Linked DNA regions of Neodiprion lecontei. The protein of the gene in region 1 binds, or shares a complex with, the protein of each later gene. Links are inferred from orthologs where the notes say so. Each region holds a gene or a part of one and is shown in the gene's direction. Other genes may lie near its edges. The genes, in order: gamma-tubulin complex component 4, gamma-tubulin complex component 3 and nucleoside diphosphate kinase 7.

What was found.
Region 2: the proteins of gamma-tubulin complex component 4 (region 1) and gamma-tubulin complex component 3 are in contact, whole or in part, in a cryo-EM structure (PDB 7QJ0), measured with the Homo sapiens proteins. The link is inferred for Neodiprion lecontei from reciprocal best matches to the Homo sapiens genes TUBGCP4 and TUBGCP3. Residues at the interface, in NP_001273343.1 of Homo sapiens: His35, Pro36, Ser37, Glu38, Ser40, Val41, Arg44, His116, Leu117, Ser118, Ser120, His121, Tyr124, Phe125, Asp127, Gln128, Leu131, Pro134, Lys159, His160, Cys162, Gly163, Gly164, Leu165, Pro166, Arg169, Leu630, Ser631; in NP_006313.1 of Homo sapiens: Arg252, Asp253, Tyr256, Gln259, Ile261, Asp262, Lys264, Arg305, Ser312, Leu313, Arg315, Leu319, Gln322, Ser323, Cys325, Ala326, His329, Arg333, Tyr336, Arg337, Ser340, His343, Ser344, His424, Pro425, Tyr593, His595.
Region 3: gamma-tubulin complex component 4 (region 1) and nucleoside diphosphate kinase 7 share a complex: the UniProt entries of both Homo sapiens proteins name them as parts of the gamma-tubulin ring complex. The link is inferred for Neodiprion lecontei from reciprocal best matches to the Homo sapiens genes TUBGCP4 and NME7.

What each region holds. Positions count from the first base shown.
Region 1 is NC_060260.1:32,567,419-32,575,174, reverse strand, and holds gamma-tubulin complex component 4, read left to right. Parts: upstream 1-2,426; 5' UTR 2,427-3,132; coding exon 3,133-3,201; intron 3,202-3,276; coding exon 3,277-3,418; intron 3,419-3,631; coding exon 3,632-3,825; intron 3,826-3,986; coding exon 3,987-4,081; intron 4,082-4,160; coding exon 4,161-4,477; intron 4,478-4,657; coding exon 4,658-5,131; intron 5,132-5,217; coding exon 5,218-5,395; intron 5,396-5,559; coding exon 5,560-5,782; intron 5,783-5,938; coding exon 5,939-6,187; 3' UTR 6,188-6,782; downstream 6,783-7,756. Other genes in the region: E3 SUMO-protein ligase PIAS2, read right to left, coding at 51-216, 326-424, 661-827, 1,229-1,507; osteoclast-stimulating factor 1, read right to left, coding at 7,108-7,338, 7,411-7,622, 7,707-7,756. UniProt on the Homo sapiens protein: Component of the gamma-tubulin ring complex (gTuRC) which mediates microtubule nucleation.
Region 2 is NC_060264.1:20,999,737-21,005,447, reverse strand, and holds the start of gamma-tubulin complex component 3, read left to right. Parts: upstream 1-2,414; 5' UTR 2,415-2,542; coding exon 2,543-2,621; intron 2,622-3,757; coding exon 3,758-3,924; intron 3,925-3,999; exon of another isoform or gene 4,000-4,000; coding exon 4,001-4,133; intron 4,134-5,290; coding exon 5,291-5,708; intron 5,709-5,711. Other genes in the region: ribonucleoside-diphosphate reductase subunit M2, read right to left, coding at 820-1,068. UniProt on the Homo sapiens protein: Component of the gamma-tubulin ring complex (gTuRC) which mediates microtubule nucleation.
Region 3 is NC_060262.1:3,443,822-3,449,562, reverse strand, and holds nucleoside diphosphate kinase 7, read left to right. Parts: upstream 1-2,494; 5' UTR 2,495-2,699; intron 2,700-2,865; 5' UTR 2,866-2,907; coding exon 2,908-3,024; intron 3,025-3,128; coding exon 3,129-3,295; intron 3,296-3,362; coding exon 3,363-3,524; exon of another isoform or gene 3,525-3,613; coding exon 3,614-3,821; exon of another isoform or gene 3,822-3,894; coding exon 3,895-4,015; exon of another isoform or gene 4,016-4,037; intron 4,038-4,128; coding exon 4,129-4,253; intron 4,254-4,285; exon of another isoform or gene 4,286-4,336; coding exon 4,337-4,450; intron 4,451-4,615; coding exon 4,616-4,723; intron 4,724-4,789; coding exon 4,790-4,825; 3' UTR 4,826-4,961; downstream 4,962-5,741. UniProt on the Homo sapiens protein: Possesses an intrinsic kinase activity. Displays 3'-5' exonuclease activity with a preference for single-stranded DNA. Does not seem to have nucleoside diphosphate kinase activity.

The sequences.
Region 1 (7,756 bases):
ACTTCACAAAATAAGTACTTCAATTATCTTCAAATGAAAACCAAATCTACCTGCGGTGTAACACTGGTGTATCCAGTTGGTTGGTAAACAGATGATGTTCTCGGTGCCACTTGGGATTGAGGCATCGATGCCTGATGCGCCGGGGGCAAATCCTTCCCACTTGAAATAGATGATTGGGCCTGCTGTTGTTGACTCATTGCCTGAGCATGGCCTTGCCTAAAACAATTGGATTAAGATTCAGGAACAAACAAATAAACATGTTCCTACTCCTTACAGAGTCAATGGATATCTTAGAAGTGACATAGTTAATGTAACTCTGACTTACCTTGTATAATAGTTACGGGAATGCATGTTTTGATCGATTTGAGGCTCACCGTTGTCGCCACCTTGACCATACAGCTGATGTGCGGCAAGTTGATCTTGCCTGTGACACAGATTTTTATTGTACTGACAATATGAGTGAAAGAAAGAACTATGTGTATTTATTAATAAATCAGCAAAGTATCACCGTTTCAAACTGGTTCCATTCATTTTATTAGAACATGGCTGTTTAATTATGAACTGTGACAGCTGTTACACGTTTGATGTAATCCTTAAGTATTATTGTTCTGACAGATATCTAGCCAAAGGGAATGAAAATTGGTATAAATATTGGCTTACTGTATGGTTCTATAAAGGTCGCGAATTTTTAGCTGCACAGGATGGGATCGAAGGCGTAATAGTTCCAAAGCTCGTGTTTGAAGTTCGTTTTTTCGACCTGATTTGTTTCGCCCAGCAAAACCCAAAAGCATCTGAAGTTCAGATACTCGAAAACTTAATACCATACTCTGAAATAGACAATTGACATTTTTATAGCCATAATAGCCCAAGATAATTATAGACAAACTGAGACTTCACAGAATGAGAAAATGTCTTTAATGATAACAACATTAGGCAATAACGACAAATTCTTCCTGCTAGAAAATCGTACCGTTTCTGTCTAGCTATATTCTCAAATGTTATTACACTCTATAGTACTAGTCGGAAAAATATATAATCAAATATGACAATTTTTCCCAACCTGCCATATACGAAGTGCACAAAAGTAAACTCTTGTGCCCAAAGTAGATAGATGGGGAGGCAATTCCAAAAAATTTTGTAGAGTAAAATATGTTGATTATTTGAATAGCGTGATGCATAAGCTAGAGATAGAGGTTACCCATTGTAGTTATCAGTTGCTCCTACTTGCCGTCTCGTATCCGCATTCCTGTGTTATGCTTGAGATACACGAGAAGTTTCCGAATTGAATGAAGATACGTTTACGAAAATATGGAAGTTGGAAATTGGACGAATGTGAAGAAAAGCGAAAAGCCGCGTGTGAAAATAAATGTCGCTTAGTATGATCAAACGCAGCCTTGCTTGCGTTGGCAAGACATTGGAAGAGTTTGGATATGTGAATGTTCGATAATTGGTGAAAAATAAGACACGGAAAAATCAATGACTCAAGTTTCTGGAAGGCATTTAACATGTGGCTCGTTTAAGTCAAGATAATAAGATCTATTTTATTCTCGTCCTACCTTCAGTTCTTCCGTATCCGCCATCTTCCTCGACGATTTTTTTTGCGAAGCCGTCTTGTCTGCTGTGCTTCCCACCACTTGAAGAAAATTCCCGTTCGTTTCCCGCGTTGTACGCCGAAATTTTTATTTTCGCTGTAATATGCTGAGCACTTTTATGTCCAGCGTCACAGAAGACTGATCACTCCTTATCTTAATTGTTATTGTATTTTGGAAAAGCTTTTAGTGGCCTTTGACGATCACAATACGTCTGGGTTCATGGAATTATTCAAGTTTCCTTCAAGTTAAGACTTGGAAGTGAAATTTAAACAATTATTTGAAATTGTTCGGAATAGACTGCGTACTGGCTGCGTTTACTCCGAAAATTTATCTTTTTCCAAGGCTATGCTCCAAAATTAGTTGACAGTACTGTCAGCAATCTTTTATCTTTGTTGTATTTCAAGTTTGACCACCAGTTCTGTTTCTAGTTAATGAATTATCAACGGTCGCAGCTCATTTCGGAACACACCCTTCTATATGGGTAGCCATAGACCGCTAGCCAATGTCCACGTGCGCCATCTGTGTAATTTTCATGCAACAGGGCTATGAGAACGACTGTAAAACATTATAGAAAAGATTTTTCTCTGATATAAAGATGTATATTATATTATATATGCACACAAAAAAATCAATTTGATAACTGTAGAATATCTGTCAACGGTAGAGGATTATTCTTATTGTAGGGCAATAATTCACGCGCATTCTGAACGTTGCTATAACTAGTTAGAACGGAACAATCATGTAAGAGTCAAGAACATTAAAATCTTACCTACGACATGCCTACGACTAAACCGGAAGTTTTACAAACTTGAAGATTCCTGGTATTTCGGAACATTCAATTTCGTTCCTTCAATTTTTGACTAAAGATATTCGAAACTGCTAGCCTTATGGACTGCTGAAGGGCGAGGGGGAACGTTACAATATTCTGCTACGCCGACTTGATCTTGCATTAGGATCCCGCGGATTGGGATGAGACGAGTCAGTTGTTAAGTGCAGGGTAGTGGAATTACACCCAAACCTGCCCAGTAGAGCTGGCAAATTACTATCAAAAATAACGCAGGGCTAGCTGGCAGTCTCCAACAGTGTCCATCGTTTCACAAATTGTTACCGAGAAGTTGTTATAATGTTTACAAATATTGTTTTTGCATTGGCAGATTAATTGGAATTGTCTATGGCATAGCAATTTTCGAATTGCGGTTTGCATTGCAGACTGTAGCAAACAAGTGTGCTTTGATTTCCACAGATACACCAAAGGTTAATGAGAAATTTGAGAGAAAATCAAAAAATTCAATAAATATCTACCTCCCGCTGATTTTAACTAATTTCTCGAGAAGTTTCTTCCCTTAAATGCCGATACACGCATGCAAACACGGTCGTGCAATTGACGATGCACTTGAACTCGGAAGTGGATGCGTTTACACCAATGATTCAGACGTGTTCTCAAATCAAATTTAATCAGACTTCAATGCTCGAACAGCTCCAAACAACCTGGACTGGGTAGACGGATCTTATTGTTAAATGTGTTTTTGAAGCGAAAGAAATGCTGCACGAAGTTTTATTGTCTCTTTGGGGTTGCACGACTAATGTCGTACAAATTATAGACACTGATGTAAGAACTGCATCGTTTATGGAGTTGACAGTTGTCAAGATATAACCTCCAAAATCTGACAAACTATGTTTACAGTTTTTAGAAACCGAAAAGCTTCTACACCCTGGAGAGCAAGCTTTGATTAAAAAAATTCTAGGCATTGCGGAGGAATGTAATGCAGTGAGAAATTTTATAAATGCCCATACGTCTGTTATTGGTGCTCCGAATGACGCAACTGGTACAATATATTACCAAATAACATTCACATTAAAAGTAAACTAGCAAGATTTGTTCATGCAAAATATCTGAATTACACACTATCAACATTTCTTCAAGAATTTTCACTAACCCACAATTGACAAATTTAAAACATCTTCGACTATATCAAGGTTAATGCTTTATAACTGTCTGATTGCAATACGATTGACATGATGCTATTTTGCTTACACAGGAAATTTGAAATGGGGCCTTTATCTGCAGGCCTTATGTGACGGTATGGAACAAGCAATACAGCCGTTTCGCGAAGATGTTATCGAATTGGAAAAAATCGTGCTGAATGACGCGTACACGCCATTGACCTTCATACTATCACGAATACAAAAATATCTCTGTTTATTCTCAGTTCTGAATTCCATAATAAGTGAGGTACACATATCTCTGAATTGTTGACTCATATTTGCGTTTTGTTTTAGTTAAAACAAAAATTGGTCGGAATTATATACTTTAAAATCACTTGTTATCAATCAGGAATATAGATGAAAGGTCAAAGTAAAGAAACATTATGTGTGATACATGTACTGTTTTAGATTCGAACCCAAAAAGTTCATGGCTGTAAAGTATTACAATACTTGCATCAACACATGCACACTGGGGTACCTGAAGTGCGGCAGGCTTTAGAAAAGTATGTGAGCTCAAAGATTCTTCTATTTTTATAAAATTAAAAATGACTCATATTATCGATCAATTTGATATACTTTCAGGATGATGTATTGCTGTCATGTCGTGTTTTATAAACAACTATCCAGTTGGCTCTTATACGGAATTCTGGAAGATGTTCATAACGAATTTTTTATTCAAAGAGCATCTAAACCACAGGATAGTTTGGTTCTAGCTAAGAGTAAAGACAGTTCTGGTATAGCAGATGAAAAATCATCAAAAAATTTATGTGCAGACATGTGGGATTACGAAATAAAAATCCATGTACTGCCATCTTATATAAGGCCATCATTAGCGCTTAAAATATTGACCATTGGTCAAACTATTATCATGTTTGGAAATGATCCCAGACAAAAGAAAGGTATACTTTTAGTGTTATTGTGCTTGAATCACTAAACCTATCATCCACTGCAACAGATGTGTATTAAACTGATTTGTTTTTACATACAATTCTATTAAAAATATTTGGAGTTTTCTAAATTTTCGAAATAGATGAAATAGAGAAATTTTTTCTAAAACGAATTAACACTTTAATTTCCAGATCTGAGTATATTCACAAAGGCTGAAAACTCAATATGGGGTGCAAAAGAGTACGAGCATTTTCACGAGTTACAAAATTTGAAAAATAAAAGAACTTTTGATATAATTGAATTTGAAAGAACTGTTGATGAACTCAAACAGTGTGTCACTGAACACTTATGGAGAGTTGCGGTTGAAGAAGCACAGCTTATGCATCAAATTAAACTGATAAAAGACTTTTTTTTACTCGGTCGTGGTGAATTGTTCCTTGAATTTATTAGATTAGCAGGTCACATATTAAATAAAAAACCGACTAGTCATACCACCAGGGATATAAATTTATCATTCCAAATAGCTGCACGGAAAATGCTCCTACATGATGAGAGCACAACGGAAAGTTTTGACTTTCTTGTTCCTGTCCCAGAGATTGAAAATGAAGTTGGTGAAGATCCAGAAGATGGTGAATTTTCAAGAAGAGAACGCGAAGACCCCATTGGTAAATAAACCATTCCCATTAATATTGCTGAATCATGACTAATGTCAACATTTTGCATGAATTGACCATGAAATTTTTAATTGCAGACACAAGAGGATGGGGACTGATTCAGCTTCAGTACAAAGTAGTCTGGCCATTACATTTGTTGTTCAGTCCAATGGCGTTGTGCGATTACAATACATTATTTCGATTTTTGTTGAGAGTAAAAAAAACACAAATTAATTTACAAAATCTATGGTCCGAACATATGCGAACAAAAAATGTGTAAGTTCATTTATTTATTGTTAGTAGTGAGAATGAATTGACCGACCACACCAGTATTTACTTCATGTCGCGAAAAAATTAAACACATATTGGCATTACTTCAAAAGTAGGAATTTCGAATCTCTTGTAAATACGTAACTAACTTTTAATGTATTTCCAAACAGTGATATTGGAGTGATGCAGTTGAGAAACAACTTGATGTTTGTTATCAACAACTTACAGTATTATTTACAAGTAGATGTACTAGAAAGTCAGTACACAATTATGGAAAATACTATGAAAAATACGCGCAACTTTGAGGAGATTCAAAAAGGACATTCTGTATTTCTAGCCAACATTATGTCACAAACTTTTCTGTTCCAAGGTTCCAGTGATAAAGTCAACCCAGTAAGTTTCTTTCCAAATTATTCACTTCTTTTCGAGTTACATATTTTAAATATCACAGTACATTTCGATGTAGCACATATGTTTGCAACTAATCAGCATCAGTTAAACTAGGATCAGATATATTTATACTCTTGTACAAACAACTAAATTTTTTAGGTCAACAAGTTGATAAAAATATTGTTACGGCTGTGCGACGATTTCATACTGCAAGCACCCATGTGGGAATTGGGTAATTTACTAGTAACTGAAAAAGAAGAACTCAAAGCATTAGCCGACACTTTAAATAGTCTTATGGATTGGCTAACAAAAACTTTGAACAAAGTACGGGCGCAACCAGCAGGGACACATTTGGCACAGCTATTACTGCGACTTGATTTCAATAGATGGTTCAGTGGAAAATCTTGAATAGTTTCAGCAAACTTGTTCATATTGAACAAAAATGATGACCAAAATTTTTTTATATAATGCACAAGGCAAGTTGGTTAATTGTTTTGAGTTACCACGATTTGCTCTGCACAGGTATTTACTAATAGCAAAGCATGCATAGTAATAATTTCGAGTACGTCGAGTTACTCAAGTGTGAAATTACTGAACTCAGCTGCAAGTTGTATTGTAAATTATTTTGCATGGTACAGAAACATGAAGTGAATCTTATTTTGTTTTGTAAGCAAATGGCATGACATTAATTAGAGTAAGTACGATTACGGTATTGTTAGTGGGTAAGCAATGCTTGATTCTCTAACATATTGTTGAATATATCTTGAATAATACTCAGTCTTTTCCTAATCACTTATTTACTTCATTGTTAGTTATGAGAATGAATTTACCTATTATATCAGTATTTATTAAACTCTCCAAAATTAAATACATATCGGCAATACTTTCACAGCTTACGGATGAAATTCGAAAACAGATGTATTATATCTAAACTATAAATTAATAAAAACGTTATTTCTTGATAAAATTTTCAACGTAATGACTCATTTCTAATTTTAACATTGTAAAATTTCAAAATACACTATACTAAAGAATTCATTAATACCCTGGTAGAAGTACTCTGTTGAGATCCTCGATGTAAAATACGTACTTGAAGCTACAATAATAATAGTATTTTCGAGCTCACATTCGGAATGGTATGTGTGTTATTATGCAGGCTGAACTTTTCACAGTTAAACTTACATTGTATCACTTTTGTCTTACAATGAACACAGAATTCCTTTTTTTTTTCCTGTAATATGTTCAATGAAGAGACAGCTCATAAGAGAATTAACGTACATCAGGAAAGGTTACTTATTAGCACTCCTTTATGAGTGCTCCTTTCTTCATTAATCACTCTCATCTTCATAGTCATTATCATCGTAACAATGATTAGCAGAATATTCCCTGTAACTCATTTGTATAGTATTTATAACTGCTGCGTTGCTAGCCAGTTCTTCTGGTATTAAATTATCACTGTTCTTAAGACTAGCATCAGCTCCAGCTTCCAGCAACATCTCTACAACTTCTAAATGTCCATGGTTTGCTGCTGCATGTAATGGTGTATCTCCCATTTTATTCTGGAATAGACCAATTCACTATTTATTTCTATAATCTTTTGATACATATTTTCATTATTCTAAGTCTTATACCTGTGCATCGACTGCAGGATTAGGCAGACTCAAGAGCTCTTTAACACAATCGATATGGCCTGCTCTAGAGGCCCAATATAATGGAACATTTCCGGCAGAGTCTAAGCCAGTACCTGAGACTCCACCTTTCAAGCATTCTCTTAAGAATGATATATTGCCACGTCTTGCAGCTTCATGGAGTGGTAACTCGACTTCTTGTGTTTGTTCTTCAACTGGGAGTAATTAAATACAAATTTAATATATCATACAATGACAAAGTCTTATATTGTTCAACATAATCAAAATACTATACAAACCATAATTGGCTGGTATTAGCCCTTCGCGATTATTACACTTGGCCTTCCAC
Region 2 (5,711 bases), on another chromosome or scaffold:
AAAGTAAGTAGAAAGAAAACCGTCAATTTAGTTGTACTTTCTCAATTCCCACGAAGTTCTAATGGAGTCCTTGGATTCATCGCCTAGTTTATTGAATTATTTTATCATTTATACAAACTGTGTATGGTACAATTAATCAACAGAACGACAAAAAATACTTTTGCACGTCTTGTCTTTATTTTCAGGATAAAATATGGCAATTTCTTTCATTCGATTAATTTGATCCATCAAGACAACTTATTTTCTTCTAAGTATTAAAATGCAATATCATCATCTTAGCAACTTTATATATTAGTAGAAATAAAAACCAGACACTCAATCTGGTTTGTTGTGTTTTTGGTTTTTTTTTTTTTTTTAATTAATTTTGTGGCTTCACTTGGGAATCAAATGATTGATTTGAATTGATTATCTCTGATTTCTACCATATCTGATTGTGGCTTATTTCCAGTTGACCAAGCAATTCTCAATGATTTTGAGATTCAACAAGATCACGGGAAATCACAACAAATAATTAAAAATCAGCACATGGTAAAATAGAAATCAATAAAAAGACTGGACATTGATTTTAATGAATTGAAATAATTTGTAGTTTACCGCAAGACCTACAACGATTTGCAAAACTTGTTGCTGGATGAATTCTTCAGCGCTATCATGTGATTTCATAACATTTCAAGTCGTTCTAAGACGATTTTAATTATGTTGACAGATTGCTTGTAATTTCAAGAAATATTTGAATAATTGCTTAGTTTCTTCAATTAACATGTATTCATGGCTTTCTCAAGTCAACAATCCCTCGCATCAACATTTGTAGATACGTACGACAGGATAATTGCAGTAATCGTGATGACCAGAGGAGGCGAAAAGAGACGATTTGTGGTGAGTGGAGGCACTGAAGAAGTTGCGCTTCACAGCGCAGTAAAAAATTGTAGTAGAGAGAGCAAAGAATAGAAGGAAAGTGGCCGATAACCTGAGGTCCTCGTTGGCATTTGCACAGACATAAATTTCGTCGATTACTGTGGGAACTGGGATTACAGATTTCGCCGTGGAATTAGCTGCGGATGTAAGCATGACGATGTTTCACTAAGCAGAATATGCGAAGCGAAAAGTGAGACTGAGAGCCAGTTTTGGCGAATTTAAGCGTTTCGAGGTCGTGACGCAGTTTGCGGTTAGAGCACAACTCGCGTAAGGAAATTAAAACGATGTGCATGTGTGACTGTGTGAATTGCGGCATTAATGCACACGTTAAAACACTTATCGCGCGTCACGCGCAGCTGCAAAAGGCTGCTGAATGAGACAAGCTCCGCGCTAAGCGTGAGTTTGAAACAGTGAATAAATATGATTTTTAACACTACAAATACTCAGACTTACATTTTCCTTGATTTGCAGACTTTCCAGTTTTCGGGAAACATTCTCTTTCTGCGAAACTTGGAGTGGCATGGTGATTACAGGCAATTTATGCTCAGGTTCCATTATCGTTTACTTTTGATCACCTTCTGACGACAAGTTAACAAACGGTTTCGGATTGCTGATTCTCAGTCATCGAGGCTCCGCTTCTCATTTCTCTGGTTGGCCAATTTGCCAACACAATGCGGCACGTGACCGTGATGGCCAATCGGAAAAGGTGATGTTGCCGCCAAATTTTGCTCATACGTCGATTAACCGGTTTATGCTCATTTCTTTGGCAATCACGTGGCGGGAAAAAATCTGTTTGTCGTTTGCGTACCGGTTCGGTAATAAAAGATGATCGTATTTACTCTCGGCCGTTTCCCGCGCTATTTCTTGTTGCTCGCGCGCAATATTTCCCGCCAAATAGAGACAAAACAGTAACGTTACAACTGCCTTCGGCTTAGTTTTTCGGATACGTGCTGCTTTATCGATGCAGGGACTGGAAGATGTGAAAACGTCACCAGCATTGCCAACTTGGTGGTGTTTGATTGGATCTGGTGGTTTTTGAAGGTTTTTGGTGGAAAAATTTTGACGGTTTGAACATGAATCAGTGTTTTCACTGAAAAATGTAGTGATTCGCCCATAATTCGACATTTCTAAAGGGAAAGTTCATGACTTTGACTAGATTTAGGCCGTGTTCGAAAATTGACTCACAGTACTGTTAGCAATCTTTTATCTCTTTTGTGCTGCCGAGTTCATGGATGGCTCTGTCTCTGTCCTAGGGAATTTTTAGTACTGGCAGTCAATTTACGAACACGGCCTTGGTAGGCCTCCCAGTAGTATTCCGTGTCTAGCTTACGTAATGCTTACGTAATGGCTAGCGGTATGGTATAATTACAGGTTTCTCTCTGTAATTACCACGATAAATACTGAAAACATCGATTATTAGCCATCGATTTGCAGCGTTAACTAATCGAAGTTGGCAACATTGCCCAAAAGCTAGCTTCTCGCCTGTAAATAGTTAATTGCTTACCTGTCACCCGTGTGTCACTCACTCTATGGTCACTCTCTGGGAAACAAATGTGCATGATTATTAGAAACTTAATAACAGCCGTAGCCTGGTAGAAGTGCATCAGTTGCACTACAGAGTATAAAAATGAGCGTTCCTGACGTTGAGACGATCAGTGATCTCATCCAAAAACTTGTCGTTTCTCTTTGGGGAGATCAGAAACCAGGTTAGGTTACGTTAAATTAGCTTAGGTTGGTTTAAGGCCGGGCTAACCGCTCGCCACAATCGTTTTTACGAGTTTATTACGTCTGTGTTTAAGCACAATGACATGTTATGCAAGTGTTTAATCCCGTTGAATATGTATTTCAGCTTTGTTAGAATCTCCAGATTTGGTTGTACACGTTATTCGACCTTATAAAACCTTGAAACATTGACGATTGGAATTTTTTTACTTCTCATTTCATCATTTACAGTCATTTGTGATAATTTTTGGACATTAATTGCTATATTTTAACTCTACTAAAATTATATTTACAATCAGAAACAGTCATAGATTAGGTTTCATCCCTAGAATTATTTTTAACTCTAAATGTTATTTAAATAAATGAAATAACAAACGAAGCAAAGAAGGTTTTCAATTTTTAATTCCTACAAAGTATCTACCAAAGATTTGATTTCGCATAGCTTTTACAATCTGACGAACAAGATCAGCAATAAGTTTGTTGGAATGAAAATGACTATCGATTCGAAAACCATATAAACGTTTAAAAAACCTATGCTCAATGTGCCGAAATACTCTGCTCCTATTTTCAGCATAAAATCTTTTCACTACACAATTGAAAATAAAGTTCACCTACCATTATTATCTCGATTGGATATTTAATTTGTGTAGCTTGTTATTTATTGTGTCGAGAAGTTAAAAAAACCTTAATTCCTACTTTCTTATATTATATTTATTTTTCCTTTGATGGTTTTTGTTGATACCAATATTTTAATTACCGTAATTTATTTTTCAAGGATGATAATAATCAGAAATTACTGTCAATTTACAGCCGCGTAGTTTTCAGCTATCCCAAATTTTTCGCATGCAGATGCATCTTTCTTTCCTGCTGTTGCCATGGCATCGCAGAAAACAAATGCAGAAAGCAAGCACTTCGGCGGGGACTTGAACGTTTTTTGATATAAGGAAAAATTGAGATATTATTATTCTTACCTCTATGCAGGGTCACAACATTTTCGGATCATTTACAATCCTATTGTTAAATTAAAACATGCCTGTTAAGGATCCATATATCAGAGGTGAAAGGAGGAGAGCATCATCAATCAATTTAGACTAAAAATTGCATGTTTAAATACTTGCAGAGGCTATAAGACGCTTTGTGCGTTTCGCATTGGGACTCCTCTCTTCGTCTCCAGGTGCCGAAACACTCCGAGAAGATGAAATGAATGTTGCCGTACAGATCAAGGGAAAACTTGAAGTTCGCGATGCCGTTCAGTTCGACAAACTCCACAACGACCTTAAGGACGGGGTGCGTTTGATTTGTTTGTAGTTTATTTTGCTTTCATATCAACTAAATTCTTGATATTATAACCTTATTTTTTCAGCCACTAAAGAACAGGCTCAGCATCCTGACTTTTCTGCTTTACATGGGACAAACCGCTGATCAGACTAAGGACAGGCATTTTTCGTTCCCCGATATGAGGCTTGGTCTGACATCACCTGTCGCATCTACCAGCCGTGCGTAAAGAAACTCAGAATTTGTACCAGTTTCTGAATTTTTGTTTTGTGCTATTTCATAAATGAAACTGATTAACACAGCAAATAATGCATTTGTGACAACATGCATTTGATGCCGGACGCATTAACAAGCCACTTCTAATTGATGATATTGTAAAAAAAAGAAATTCAGTTGCTTTCTAACTTCGTTACGAATTTTCAATTAAGAATAGTATGGGAAAAATGACTCTGAACTTGTCAAAAAAAAAGGAAAATTTTTTCTTAAAGATACCAAACCTAAAAGAAAAACGTCTATACAGTAAAACATCGATTATTCGAACCAATTTGGACCAGGCCTGGTTCCGATAATCAAAAATTTGGATAGTTGAACAGTAATGTTAAGTGACGCGATGATCAGCTCTAGAAAATATTCAATAAATATGTAATGCACATATATGTTACGATATATGTATATATATTCCATGCCAATTTGACTTGAGATTCGGACAATAGATGGTTTAGTTAAGGTGATCATGGTTTGGATAATAGAGTTTCTACTGTAATTAATGCTTTGTTTAGGGCTGTGCATTTCATTGATTAATTATGAAAGCAATTAATTGAAAGAGTCGAATGACTGGAAAAACGATTAAATGATAATGCCAAACAAACCATTAGCCGAAAAAATAAATATTTGTCAAGATCTAATCATTAATTACTCGCAAAAACGATTAATCAAGCGTACGAAGAATAAAGTGCCGAATAATCGATTCATTGAAAAAGTGAATAATTGAAAATGCCGGTTAATTGATTAATTAAAGAAGCAGTTAATTAAAAGGATTATTAACTCGATTAACTGACAAAATGGAGTTGGAAACACCAATTAATCGGAAATATGATTAATAAACCGGGCCGATTATTCGATTCACTGAAAAACAATGAATTGGAAAGACTAATTAATCGATTAATCAGAATAAACAAACATAATACAATCATTCAATCGCATTGTCTTTGTTTAGTCTTATACATTGTTTTTTTTACAGATTCGAGTTTCTTATTAGCTTATTTTCGTCTTCCATATCATAAAATAGTATCAATTCTTTCATTAATTGTTTCTGAGTCACGTAAAGGCTTCCTGAAAATTTATCCCTGCTTATTGCATATCATCTGTTTTGAATTAGGTCAGACCTCACAGGTCTCGTGCTCTCAGGGACAGATGCTTCCATTGAGTTACACAGAGACGATAGTTCGCGGCCCATCTCTACATCCCGCAAGAATATTCAACGAGGAGTCAGTGTCCGAAGATCTGCTGGTCCAGGATCTTATTTACTCATTCCAGGGGATAGAGGGAAAGGTTTTGAAGCTCGATTCGAGCTATGGATTCCAAATAGACCCGAAAGCAAAATTAAACAGAACGCACAGACAGGGTGTCTTGAGGCTCAGCGCGCTTGGCTATCTTCACAACATTGTCAGCCGCGGGCTGGAAAGAATGTCTGCTGCATGCTCTGGACGAGTCGCAGACAGCTTTGTTGCTGCCCTGCATCAGGAACTCTCGGAATATTATAGATTTATTGCTATCATGCAGGAGGAGGTGAACAGGTC
Region 3 (5,741 bases), on another chromosome or scaffold:
TCCTGAAGGTCCAATTGGTCGGATAAGGATCGTCTACATCGAATCTGAGACCAAAAGTTTTTTGCCAAAAAAAAAAGTAAGGCTAACCCCTTTCCATTTTTGGCGAAAATTTTCGCGATTTTGAAAAGTGCTGGAATCAATTGATTGTAGCACTGATCGGACGTAATTTTGCGCGAGAATATGATTGGGCGCAGTCCCAATACGCTGCGATCAACGCATCAAAAGTTACAGCCAAAAAACCAGAACCTGAATTTTCGACATTTTTCAGCAGGTGCTTTTTCGCTCGCCATTTCTCTCCTGTTGGTCCTACGCTCTTTTCGCAGTGATTTCTGAGTTCCTGAGGATCCAATTGGTCGGATAAGGATCGTTTAAATCGAATCTGAGACCAAAAGTTTTTTGCCAAAAAAAAAAGTAAGGCTAACCCCTTTCCATTTTTGGCGAAAATTTTCGCGATTTTGAAAAGTGCTGGAATCAATTGATTGTAGCTCTGATCGTACGTAATTTTGCGAGAGAAATCGATTGGGCGCTGTCCCAATACGCTGCGATCAACGCGTCAAAAGTTACAGCCAAAAAACCAGAACCCGAATTTTCGACATTTTTCAGCAGGTGCTTTTTCGGTCGCCATTTCTCTCCTGCGGGTCCTACGCTCTTTTCGCTGCGATTTCTGAGTTCCTGAGGGTGGAATTGGTCGGATAGGGATCGTTTGAATCAAATCTGAGACCAAAAGTTTTTTGCCAAAAAAAAAAGTAAGGCTAACCCCTTTCCATTTTTGGCGAAAATTTTCGCGATTTTAAAAAGTGCTGGAATCAAGTAATTGTAGCACTGATCGGACGTAATTTTGCTAGAGAAATCGATTGGGCGCTGTCCCAATACGCTGCGATCAACGCATTAAAAGTTACATTTAAAAAACCAGAACCTGAATTTTCGACATTTTTCAGCAGGTGCTTTTTTGCTCGCCATTTCTCTCCTGTTGGTCCTACGCTCTTTTCGCTGCGATTTCTGAGTTCCTGAGGGTCCAATTGGTCGGACAAGGATCGTTTAAATCGAATCTGAGACCAAAAGTTTTTTGTCAAAAAAAAAAGTAAGGCTAACCCCTTTCCATTTTTGGCAAAAATTTTCGCGATTTTGAAAAGTGCTGGAATCAATTAATTGTAGCACTGATCGGACGTAATTTTGCGAGAGAAATCGATTGGGCGCTGTCCTAATACGCTGCGATCAACGCATCAAAAGTGACAGCCAAAAAACCAGAACCTGAATTTTCGACATTTTTCAGCAGGTGCTTTTTCGCTCGCCATTTCTCTCCTGTTGGTCCTACGCCATTTTCGCTGCGATTTCTGAGTTCCTGAGGGTCCAATTGGTCGGACAAGGATCGTTTAAATCGAATCTGAGACCAAAAGTTTTTTGTCTAAAAAAAAAGTAAGGCTAACCCCTTTCCATTTTTGGCAAAAATTTTCGCGATTTTGAAAAGTGCAGGAATCAAGTAATTGTAGCACTGATCGGACGTAATTTTGCGAGAGGATTCGATTGGGCGCAGTCCCAATACGCTGCGATCAACGCATCAAAAGTTACAGCCAAAAAACCAGAACCTGAATTTTCGACATTTTTCAGCAGGTGCTTTTTCGCTCGCCATTTCTCTCCTGTTGGTCCTACGCCATTTTCGCTGCGATTTCTGAGTTCCTGAGGGTCCAATTGGTCGGATAAGGATCGTCTAAATCGAATCTGAGACCAAAAGTTTTTTGCCAAAAAAAAAAGTAAGGCTAACCCCTTTGCATTTTTGGCGAAAATTCTCGCGATTTCAGAAAGTGCTGGAATAAATTCGTTTATGCACTATTCCGACGTAATTTTGCGAGAAAAATCGATTGGGCGCAGTCCCACTACGCTGCGATCGACGCATCAAAAGTTACAGCCAAAAAACGAGAACCTGAGTTTTCGACATCTTTCAGCAGGTTTTTTTTCTGCACGCCATATCTCTCCTCTTGGTCCTACGCTCCTTCTCCATATCAAATATCTATATCAAATTGATATATCTAGTATTAGGTATTTATAGTAACTATCAATGAATTCACTTTGATTACACAATCTGAACAAGCAAATATATTTCAGCATGTAAATACAATGTATCATTTTCTCAGTATCCGAATTTCAAATTCCGAGGTAAACATAATCACTGTACTACATTCATTACATTTAACAACGTGTCATAATCAATGATCAATTCTTACGCATCATTACACATAGTATCACAATCGAGTTTGAGACATTAACTCAACTTTGAGTCAAGAATCAACGAATCTCACATTTCATTAATATAGTGTTGAAAAACAAAATATATTTCCGCAGAGTCGTCCGCAGTATTCGCGGTGTGTGCTGCGCCTGATTGCCGGCAACGTGAGATGCATTCGTGTAGTCGTGGAACCCTTTGGTTTGCTCCTCAATCCGTATATTTTTCAACAGTAGCGGCATCTAGGCACATCTGAAAAAATCGTAGAACACAGATTCAGTACCGAGAATGAAAGGACCAGCAAGATTCGTAGTTGTCATGGAAACGAAACTGTCAGTAGTGTAAGCTGTGGTGCAAGCGCATGCAAGTCGTACTCTGATCGTAAATTTATTCGTTTTTGCAGTTACCTGATAGGAGAATAGAAAATATTTCGACTGTTAAATAAATTAGTCGCATCAAACTATTTCTCAGTGTATCCGTAAGTTCTTGTTTGCAACTTAATCGATTCGCTTATTGTGATTTTTACTCAAGAAATATGACCAAGAATTTAATTTTTCTGATCACTGTGCCAATCATTGACCATGTTATTGGCCAAGAATAATCGCGCCGCATCTCAATTAAACAACAATTCTAAATCTTTTTAGCCTCTGTAGCGTGAAGTAAATTTGGAGGAACGTAAGAGGAAAATGTCGTCCGATTATAGCGAGAAACATACTTTTGAAGCCGAATGGTTCGACCCGGTTGCGTCGCTCCTGAAAAAGTTTCTCCTCTACTACTTTCCTGCAGATAATACGGTAGAAATTGTAAGCGCGGTAATCGATATACTATTCCCAACAAGGCAAGAGGTAAAGAATGATACTAAGAACGACAAACAATTAAATCAGTTTCTTTTCTACTGTTTTCACAGTACGATATTAAGAATAGGAAAGTATTCCTACGCCGAACGAAATGTCAAGGAATTACTGCCAAAGATTTTTACATCGGAGGGATGGTACACATATTTTCACGATGCCTCAAGATAAAGGATTTTGCAGATGGCGCGACCAAGGCGAAACTTGCCGATCAGATGGAAAGGTAAATCGGTATCTCGACGTTTGAGTTTGTATATAATGCTAGAGCCTAGGTAAATTCAACATTCCAGAACTTTGGCGATAATCAAACCGGATGCTATAGATAAAATGGGAGAAATATTGAAACGGATAACAAGGAACAACTTTCACATAGGAAATGTTAAAATGGTTCACATGACCAGAGACGAGGCTGAGGAATTTTATAACAAACATAGAGGACAGAGTGACTTACCGTGAGTTTTGAACGCCATTTCTTTTACCAAGGCGTCTGCGACTCGGTGGTCCTTGGCCTCAATCCGACAATGTCGCACTGTTTTTGCAGAATGTTGCTGAAGTACATGACGTCAGGTCCAATTTTGACACTCCAGCTTATCGGCGAACAGGGAATTGACAAATGGCGAGAGCTGATGGGACCAACGGACAGCGTGGAAGCTCGAGAAACTGCTCAGAATACTATTCGGGCTTGTTACGGCAAAGACAAGGTCTACAATGCGGTGCATGGGTCAGATTCCTCGGAAAGTGCAGCTAGAGTACGTTGAACAATTCGATCAAATTTTCCTCGGCGAAATTCAGAGCGTGTCAACCGAACTTAAACCTTTACAGGAATTGAGGTACTTCTTTCCTGATGAAAAGGTCAGGAGCAGGAGTATCAAGAACACCGCAACGCTCAAGAACTGCACCTGCTGTGTGATAAAACCGCACGCCGTTCAATCGCGCCTCATTGGTAAGTATTTGCATTCAGATTCCTGGAAATAAAGAACATCAAATAACAATTATTTGACGAATGACGATTCAAGTAAATTTTCATACTAAAAATATAACATTCTCAACACGAAGGTTACATCATCGACGATATACAAAAGGCAGGATACACAATATCAGCTGTGCAACAGTTTTACGTAGATCCCACAAACGTCGAAGAATTTCTGGAGGTCTATAAGGGAGTTTTACCCGAATATGGGGTGAGAACATTCAACGTTGCGATAATAATGACCTTCAGAATTGTCGGAACAGTACATAATTCAATCCCGTTTACATCGAATAGGCAATGGTCACGGAAATGCAGTCCGGACCCTGCGTTGCGATGGAGATAACGCACAGCCACCGTGAGAAGGATGTTCCGACGGAATTCAGGAAGTTATGTGGCCCCATGGATCCTGTGAGTCTTCTTTTTCCCCCCTTTGTCTGATCAATCAGCTCAATTATTCCCAGAACAATGTCCACTATTTTTGAATTTATTACTCTTGACGTTTTATACTTGATTTTGCGAGGCAGTCAAATTTCATTCGCTAAACTGGCGCGACTTTTCACTTTAATTTCTCAGGATATAGCGCGGCAATTGAGGCCGGAAACCTTGAGAGCAAAGTATGGAAAGACCAAGGTCCAAAATGCTGTTCACTGTTCCGATTTGCCGGAGGATGGATTGCTGGAGGTAAATTGAGTAAATTAAATCCTTTCTTTCATACTGTGATTCCTGTGTATATTTTCTATTTTACAGGTTGAATATTTCTTCAAGATACTGGCCGATAGCTAGGATATTTCAACGCTTTTATTACACGCGCAAATCTTGCATAAATTGGAAATTACAACTTCGTTATAATACGTGTACATAAATATTTTTCTACTCAAAATAAATAGACATGAATTTACGATCAAAAATCATTTGTCTAATTTTTTTTTACCCGTCCCTCCACTGTATCACGCAGAAAATAAGAAGAATTTGTTGAATTTAACTGATATTGCGATCAAATATGACAAACGAAATATTTTTTCAAGTTAAATAAATGTTGTTTAATTCAACAAAAAAGTAGTCAAAACAATGATTCGTGTATCAAGTGAAACCACATTTATTTCAACTGATCAAACATTCGTTACGCCACGATTGATCGACGCATACATATCGGTAAATCAATCAATGTTACAGCAACTGTGCGAAATACGGTAAAGATTTGGTTTCGTTCATTCGTTCGCACGGAAGAAACGGATGTTGATGATGTCGATGACGAATGAAGGATCGAATGAACGTAAAGTTATTAGACATTCAACTCGAACACACGGAACACGCGAATGAGCGAACGAACGCATCATGTTGTATTACGCCACTGCAAAAACTGATGACTAGGACTATTCGCTGAACGATTTCAATTACCTACCTTGCCGCTGTGCAAAATTGAGGCCACACAACCGTAAATATTTCGCATTACCTGTACAGCGTTTATTTATGAAATTTATTGAACTATCTGCCAAACGTATATTAGGGACTCGTGATTAGCCTCGCTTGTTTCGAATACGTTCGTCGCAAAAGAGGATAAAAAAAAATAAATAAAAAATGTGAAAGAAAAGAAACGGAGAAAAAGAAATGATCCTGGCGTTACCGGATGAGAATATTTTTTTACACTCACAATCATCTCCTATATTCATTAACAGCGACTCTCTATTTTTCATTTGCA